Linked DNA regions of Arabidopsis thaliana. The protein of the gene in region 1 purifies or fractionates together with the protein of each later gene. This does not show direct contact. Each region holds a gene or a part of one and is shown on either strand. Other genes may lie near its edges.

What was found.
Region 2: the proteins of hemf2 (region 1) and AT1G14810 fractionate together in Arabidopsis thaliana (co-fractionation; one large-scale study listed by BioGRID). This does not show direct contact.

The regions. Positions count from the first base shown.
Region 1 is NC_003075.7:1,410,973-1,414,724, forward strand, and holds the start of hemf2 (Coproporphyrinogen III oxidase), read left to right. Parts: upstream 1-1,812; 5' UTR 1,813-1,841; coding exon 1,842-2,366; intron 2,367-2,454; coding exon 2,455-2,530; intron 2,531-2,609; coding exon 2,610-2,731; 3' UTR 2,732-2,787; coding exon of another isoform or gene 2,788-2,793; 3' UTR 2,794-3,552; intron 3,553-3,645; 3' UTR 3,646-3,752. Other genes in the region: AT4G03200 (catalytics), read left to right, coding at 57-320, 402-512, 584-808, 881-1,084, 1,162-1,338, 1,409-1,594. UniProt on the Arabidopsis thaliana protein: Key enzyme in heme biosynthesis. Catalyzes the oxidative decarboxylation of propionic acid side chains of rings A and B of coproporphyrinogen III.
Region 2 is NC_003070.9:5,103,190-5,106,941, reverse strand, and holds the start of AT1G14810 (semialdehyde dehydrogenase family protein), read left to right. Parts: upstream 1-2,091; 5' UTR 2,092-2,308; coding exon 2,309-2,869; intron 2,870-2,981; coding exon 2,982-3,068; intron 3,069-3,169; coding exon 3,170-3,214; intron 3,215-3,309; coding exon 3,310-3,405; intron 3,406-3,501; coding exon 3,502-3,603; intron 3,604-3,638; exon of another isoform or gene 3,639-3,752. Other genes in the region: AT1G14820 (Sec14p-like phosphatidylinositol transfer family protein), read left to right, coding at 149-220, 521-779, 1,018-1,054, 1,142-1,259, 1,345-1,455, 1,544-1,705.

The DNA.
Region 1 (3,752 bases):
ACTCTGGTTTCCCTCTGCATACTGACATTTGTTTTGCGTGTGTGTTTGGTTTCAAGATTGATGAAGTCCTCGGGGAGAATGCTGATCTTTTCAAGGAGCATTATTATGTTAAGAAATCAGGTAACTGCGATCTTTCGAGCAGGAGTGACCCGCACAATGAATTTGCTGGGAAGAACGTGCTGATCGAAAGAAATGAGACGTCTGCTATGGCATCAAAGTTTAGCCTCTCTGTTGAGAAGTATCAGGAGATATTAGGTGAATGCCGAAGAAAGCTTTTCGATGTCAGATTGAAGCGACCTAAGCCGCATCTAGATGATAAGGTAATACTCTTCTTGGAATTCTCATGTTGTCTTCTCTACTGTTTCTTCAGATTTGTTAACCATTTAAGATTTCTTTCATAGATAATCGTGTCTTGGAACGGTCTTGTTATCTCGTCTTTCGCAAGAGCTTCCAAGATTCTTAAGGCTGAGCCTGAAAGCACCAAATATTATTTCCCTGTGGTGAATAGTCAGGTAATGAATGCTACACCCTTTCCTTTAATTTCTTCTTTGACCGTTTTGTAATTAGAAGACTCATTTTTCAGCCAGAGGATTACATAGAGGTTGCAGAGAAAGCAGCTTTGTTTATCAGAGGAAATCTCTATGATGAGCAGTCTCGCAGATTACAACACAGTTACAGACAGGGGCCATCCAAAGCTCCTGCCTTCTTAGACGATTATGCTTTCTTGATCTCTGGTTTACTCGATCTTTACGAGAATGGAGGTGGGATCGAATGGCTTAAGTGGGCGATTAAACTTCAAGAAACACAGGCAAGTGAGATCTTTACTAGCTCGATTTGTTAAAGTTCTTGATTTTGGCTAAAAAAGTTAAAAACATTTTAGGATGAGTTATATCTGGACCGAGAAGGAGGAGCATACTTCAATACTGAAGGACAAGACCCATCGGTTCTTCTTCGTGTAAAAGAAGATCATGATGGTGCAGAACCTTCAGGGAACTCTGTTTCTGCTATCAATCTTGTGAGGTTAGCTTCCATAGTCGCCGGAGAAAAAGCTGAATCCTACCTCAACACGGCACATCGTCTCCTGGTAAACAAACAAACAACTAATCCCATTTGCTATTCATAGAAAGAGATTATTGAGTCTCTTTGTTGTTGTTTTTGCAGGCAGTCTTTGAGTTGAGGTTAAGAGAACTGGCGGTGGCTGTGCCATTAATGTGCTGCTCCGCAGATATGATCTCTGTTCCGTCGAGGAAACAAGTTGTATTGGTTGGTTCTAAGTCTTCCCCAGAGCTTACCAACATGCTTTCTGCAGCACATTCAGTCTATGATCCTAATAAAACGGTAAGAGCTTAAAAAATTATCCAAATTTCTAGATTCAAGATTTGTGACTTTTGGTGGTTTTACTGAGCAGGTGATTCACATAGATCCCTCTAGTTCTGATGAAATCGAGTTTTGGGAAGAGCATAACAGTAATGTAGCTGAGATGGCTAAGAAGAACAGAAACTCAGAGAAAGTGGTGGCTCTTGTTTGTCAACACTTCACTTGCAGTCCTCCTGTCTTTGACTCTTCTTCTCTCACTCGCTTGCTTTCCAAGTAAACAAAGATCATTCCATGTTTAATAGTTGCTTGTACTGTAAGGAACAGATCAACGTTGTTCTCTCTGTTACAGTCTTACAGAGTAGATAAATAAAGAAGAGAACTAAACCGAGTATGAGGTTTTTTGGTTGAACTAAACCGGAAATAACCGGGTTTGGTTTGGTTAAAAAAACAGAGCTTTGACGATTCCTTATCATCTTCTATCTTCAGCAAAAAGGTGAAAACTTGGATTCGATCGATCGCTGAAAATGGCGTCTCACTCTTCGACTCTCTTCACTTCTCCTTCTTCCTTCATTCTCTTCTCTTCTCATCGTCTCAAATCTTCTCCGAATTACTTCACTTACCACTTTCCTCGTTCCGTAAAGAGACCACATTTCGACTTGCGATGCTCAGTCTCAATCGAGAAAGAAGTTCCGGAAACAGAAAGACCTTTCACTTTCCTCAGAGTCTCCGACGGCGATCAAACTCAATCTTCTTCTTATTCGGTTAGGGCTCGTTTCGAGAAAATGATAAGAACTGCTCAAGATAAAGTCTGTGAAGCCATTGAAGCAGTCGAAGAAGGTCCTAAATTCAAGGAAGATGTTTGGTCTCGACCCGGTGGAGGTGGTGGAATCAGTCGTATTTTGCAAGACGGAAATGTATGGGAGAAAGCTGGAGTTAATGTCTCTGTGATTTATGGTGTTATGCCTCCTGAAGCTTATAGAGCTGCTAAAGCTGCCACGTCTGAGCAAAAACCTGGTCCGATTCCGTTCTTTGCCGCTGGAACCAGCTCGGTGAGTTCTCTCTCTCTCTCTCTATCAGTCGACATTGCTGTTGATATGGTCTCTGAGTTCTTTGATTGAGCTTGATCCTACATTCTAGGTTTTGCATCCTCAGAACCCTTTTGCTCCGACTCTGCATTTCAATTACCGCTATTTCGAGACCGATGCTCCAAAGGGTAAGACCTTAATCCTCTTTGAGAAGTGTAAAGTTCCAATTTTTTGGTTGGATGAAGCATTTGATTTCATCACTTGTAGATGTTCCTGGAGCTCCGAGGCAATGGTGGTTCGGTGGTGGGACTGACTTCACACCTGCTTACATCTTTGAAGAAGACGTCAAGCACTTTCATTCGGTCGTTAAACCTGATCCATTGTTCTGAAAGTTTGAAGCTTTGTGATTATGGAGATGCTGATTGAAATATCTTTCTTTGTGTAGGTTTAAAAGCAAGCCTGCGATAAATTTGATCCGTCGTTCTACCCTTGGTTTAAGAAATGGTGTGATGACTACTTTTACATTAAGGTCTGCAGTTCCTTTAACGCTATTCTGATTGTTTGGTGAGATCTTAGCACTTTGTGGAACTAAAAGACCTTAGTTTTAGAGTCATGTATGTGCAAGAATAGATTTAGAGCCTCAAGGTTTTGTTTAGGTTGATACAGTGATAAGTTGTCGCCTAGGATTTGAAAACACTAAAAACTTTACGGTCTTGCCTGCAGCACCGTGATGAGAGGCGAGGGCTTGGAGGGATATTTTTTGATGATTTGAATGACTATGATCAAGAGATGCTTCTGTCATTCGCCACTGGTAGTGACCAAGATATAACTTGTGACATTTTGTTTTAAGAAACTTCCTAGTTGACTTATTTGAATACTGAGATGAATTTTGCAGAATGTGCAAGCTCAGTGATACCAGCTTCTATACCCATAGTAGAGAAACGTAAAGACACACCATTTAACGAGCAACACAAGGCATGGCAACAGCTGCGAAGGGGCAGATATGTTGAATTCAACTTCGTAATTGGATACTACTAGCTTTGTTTTTCTTTCTGTATAAATATCTCTTGAAACCTCGTCTCATGTTTTGTTGCTGATGGTAAAAATAAAGGTGTATGACCGCGGAACAACATTTGGTCTGAAGACTGGAGGACGAATAGAGAGTATCCTTGTCTCTCTTCCGCTATCTGCGAGATGAGAATATGACCATGTAAAGTTTCTTGATTCAAGAAACTAAATCTTGTTTCATCTTAGCTAATGAAACTTAACTACTGATGGTGTTTGTCTCTTGTTGCGGATGCAGAAACCTGAAGAAGGAACTGAGGAATGGAAACTATTAGATGCTTGTATCAATCCAAAAGAGTGGCTTTAGTTAATTAATTGTGGTTATTTCCCCAATTAGCTCTTTTA
Region 2 (3,752 bases), on another chromosome or scaffold:
TTTCTTCTTCCTGTGGCTTCTGGGTCTTTGTCAACATCAAAGCTCTTTACTTTTTCAACTTACTTTATCGTGCGTCTGTACGGACCACAAAAGGCTCTCTCTTTATTTCTCTGTGAGATTTTTTTAGGATCTGAGAGAGCCAAAGATCATGGAGGAAAGCCAAGAACTTGCCTTGACCCAGTTGAGAAAATCGGTCGAGAAACTCTCTTCTTCTACTGAGGTAATCTAATTCGACGCTTTAGTTTCATTACAGTTTACAAAGCTTGCATCTTTTGGCCGTTTCATGAGTTTCACTGACAATGTCTCGTTAGAAAATGAGAAATATCTGTCATTTGATTTTGATGGGTTTTATATGGGCTACACTGTTAAAACTCTGTCTCCATTCTCGTCATAGTGGTTTGTCTGATTAGGTTTGAGCCTCCCATCAGAAACCCTAACAGTAGAGACAGTTTAGTAAAAGTGAATCCATAATCAGAAAATCTCATCAATGGTTTTTGTTGTTGTTGTTTCCTCTGAAAAGGGATATGACAAACCAACATTGATGAGGTTCCTGGTGGCAAGATCAATGGACCCAGTCAAGGCAGCAAAGATGTTTGTAGATTGGCAAAAATGGAGAGCCTCCATGGTTCCTCCAACTGGATTCATCCCTGAGTCAGAAGTGCAGGATGAATTGGAATTCAGAAAGGTCTGTCTTCAGGGTCCGACCAAATCCGGACACCCATTGGTGCTTGTCATAACCTCTAAGCATTTTGCTTCTAAGGATCCAGCTAACTTCAAGAGTAATCACCTCTCACTTGCTTCTGACCTTTACTTTCGTTGGAAATAATCTGTCCCTTGACTTTCAGTGACTTTTGTATTCATAGAACTGATCAGCTTCTTTCCTGGTTCTCTAATTATTGAGTAGTTTCATTTGACTTCAAATGAATGAAGTTTTTTGAGTCCATCTATGTGTTTTCCTTGAGTTGATTCTTGCGATAATTATCTATGAACTAATCTTTTATCTGTTTGATGTTGCAGAGTTTGTTGTTTATGCGCTAGACAAAACAATCGCAAGGTGTTTACACATTATTGAAACCAAAACACTTCAATAATCTTCCGGTTAGTTGGTTGTGAGACAAGCTTTTTGGTTTTTATGTTTCAGTGGCAACAATGGCAAAGAAGTTGGAGGTGAGAAATTAGTAGCCGTTATTGATCTGGCAAACATTACATACAAGAACCTTGATGCTCGTGGATTGATCACTGGCTTTCAATTCTTACAAGTAAGCATCTCCCTTCTTCCTGAAACAATATAGTTATCACACAAAAAGAAGTCCTGTCTATTAAATTTGGAAAATGTTTCTCTAGTCTTACTACCCGGAACGCCTTGCAAAATGCTACATTTTGCATATGCCCGGATTCTTCGTGACCGTTTGGAAATTCGTCTGCCGTTTTCTAGAGAAAGCAACTCAGGAAAAGGTTTGATCTTTAATCTCCTCTTGATGTATCTATCTCTAATGGTTCTTGAGCAACGAATCACATAAATTATGATTTTGCTGTTGCATAGATTGTGATAGTTACGGATGGAGAAGAACAGAGAAAATTCGAGGAGGAGATCGGAGCAGATGCTTTACCGGAAGAGTACGGTGGCCGAGCTAAGCTCACAGCAATCCAAGATGTTCTTCTTCCTCAGGCTGCTCCAGTAACTCTAACAAACAATAATGTTTAGCTCTTTATTTTTGGAAGCATTAACCTGAATATTTGTAATGGTCAGAACATAACTAGTGGTACATCTCTAAATTTCCAAAAGAAGCAATGAAAACATGAGAAAGTAATGCGAATATATTCAATCTGGTGACTGAGTGCTCGCTCTTGCTTATCTTTTCTTATTCACATCATAAGTAAGCTGTAAAGCAGGATTGATCAACAGACCAGACTAACTTCTAGAAACTTAATGTCCTCTTGTTGTACGTGTAAGATTCCAAAGTTAGCTATAGATGTCTTTGAGCTAAAAACCAGAATCACGAGCTCTTAAATATGATCCCTAAGCCTTGTTATATGACAAAAGACTTTTCAACAACTTAATATTTCCAAAAGAAGAAATGATGAAACACATGAGAAAGTTGTGTGAATATACTCAATCTGGTGAATGAGCAGTTTCAAACATCATGCTGTTTCTGTATCTTAAATTAAACAATCTTGCTGTTTTGAATTTTGAAGATGTTGGTCAATTCACTAACACACTTTAAAGTCCCAAGCTTTTTTCTATCAGCCGCCTCCAAAATCTCTCTATCTCTCTGTCTCTCACTTCTTCTTCCTCACGGCGGCGACAATGGCGACGTTCACTCATCAAACCCCACAAACCCATTTCCTCTCTCGCCTTCCTCTCAGAGCTAAACCTAGACACTTCTCCGCAAGAGTCAAAATGTCTCTCCAAGAATCTGCGCCTTCACTCGCCGTCGTTGGCGTTACCGGAGCCGTCGGACAAGAATTCCTCTCCGTCTTATCCGATCGAGACTTCCCTTATAGCTCCATCAAGATGCTTGCATCGAAACGCTCCGCAGGGAAGCGTGTTGCCTTCGATGGCCATGAATACACGGTGGAGGAGCTCACGGCGGATAGCTTCAACGGTGTAGACATAGCTTTGTTCAGTGCTGGTGGATCCATAAGCAAAGAGTTTGGTCCTCTGGCGGCGGAGAAAGGAACCATTGTTGTTGATAATAGCTCGGCTTTTAGAATGGTTGATGGAGTTCCGCTTGTGATTCCTGAAGTGAATCCAGAAGCAATGAAAGGGATCAAAGTTGGAATGGGCAAAGGGGCTTTGATTGCAAACCCTAATTGCTCCACCATTATCTGTTTGATGGCTGTTACGCCTCTTCATCATCACGCAAAGGTTCGATTTTTATTCTGAAATCTGCTTAGTCCAAAATTTTGAAGGGTAGTTAGAGAATCAATGGAAGCTTTAGACTTTAGTGCTCTGAATAATGTTTGATTGGCTATAATAGGTGAAGAGAATGGTGGTTAGTACATATCAAGCAGCTAGTGGTGCTGGTGCTGCAGCTATGGAAGAGCTTGTTCAGCAGACTCGTGAGGTTTTGTTTCTATTTCAGCCTTCTTTGATTGAATTGTTTAATGATTGTGCTGAGTTGTGATTCTGCTTCTTCGTCTTCTTTGCATTGGTGTGTTTTCTTAGGTTTTAGAGGGTAAACCTCCGACTTGTAACATCTTCGGGCAGCAGGTGAGTGCTTAATTTGCTTATAGTTTGTATTTCGAATGTGCTGATTATGAAATCCCTTTTTGAGTAATGTGATGGTTTTGTATGTTGTTCTGCAGTATGCATTTAACTTGTTTTCACATAATGCTCCTATTCTTGACAACGGTTACAACGAAGAGGAAATGAAACTTGTGAAGGAGACAAGGAAGATCTGGGTGAGTGGTTACTTAAGTGCTATTTTGTGTTCATTTCACTTTGATCTTTTGTTCAAAAATTTTAGATATCTCACACCAATTTCTTGCCCTTCACAGAATGACACAGAAGTAAAAGTAACAGCAACGTGTATACGTGTTCCAGTTATGCGTGCTCATGCAGAGAGTGTGAATCTTCAGTTTGAGAATCCTCTTGATGAGGTAATAACACACGTCGAACCCGATTTCTACTGATTCTGTGTTGTTGTGTTACCTTATGATTTCACTCACTGATATGACAATTTGAATCATAATTTGAAGTTTTAAACCACATTCTATGGTTTTAATTTAACTCAAGCCATTGAAAAATG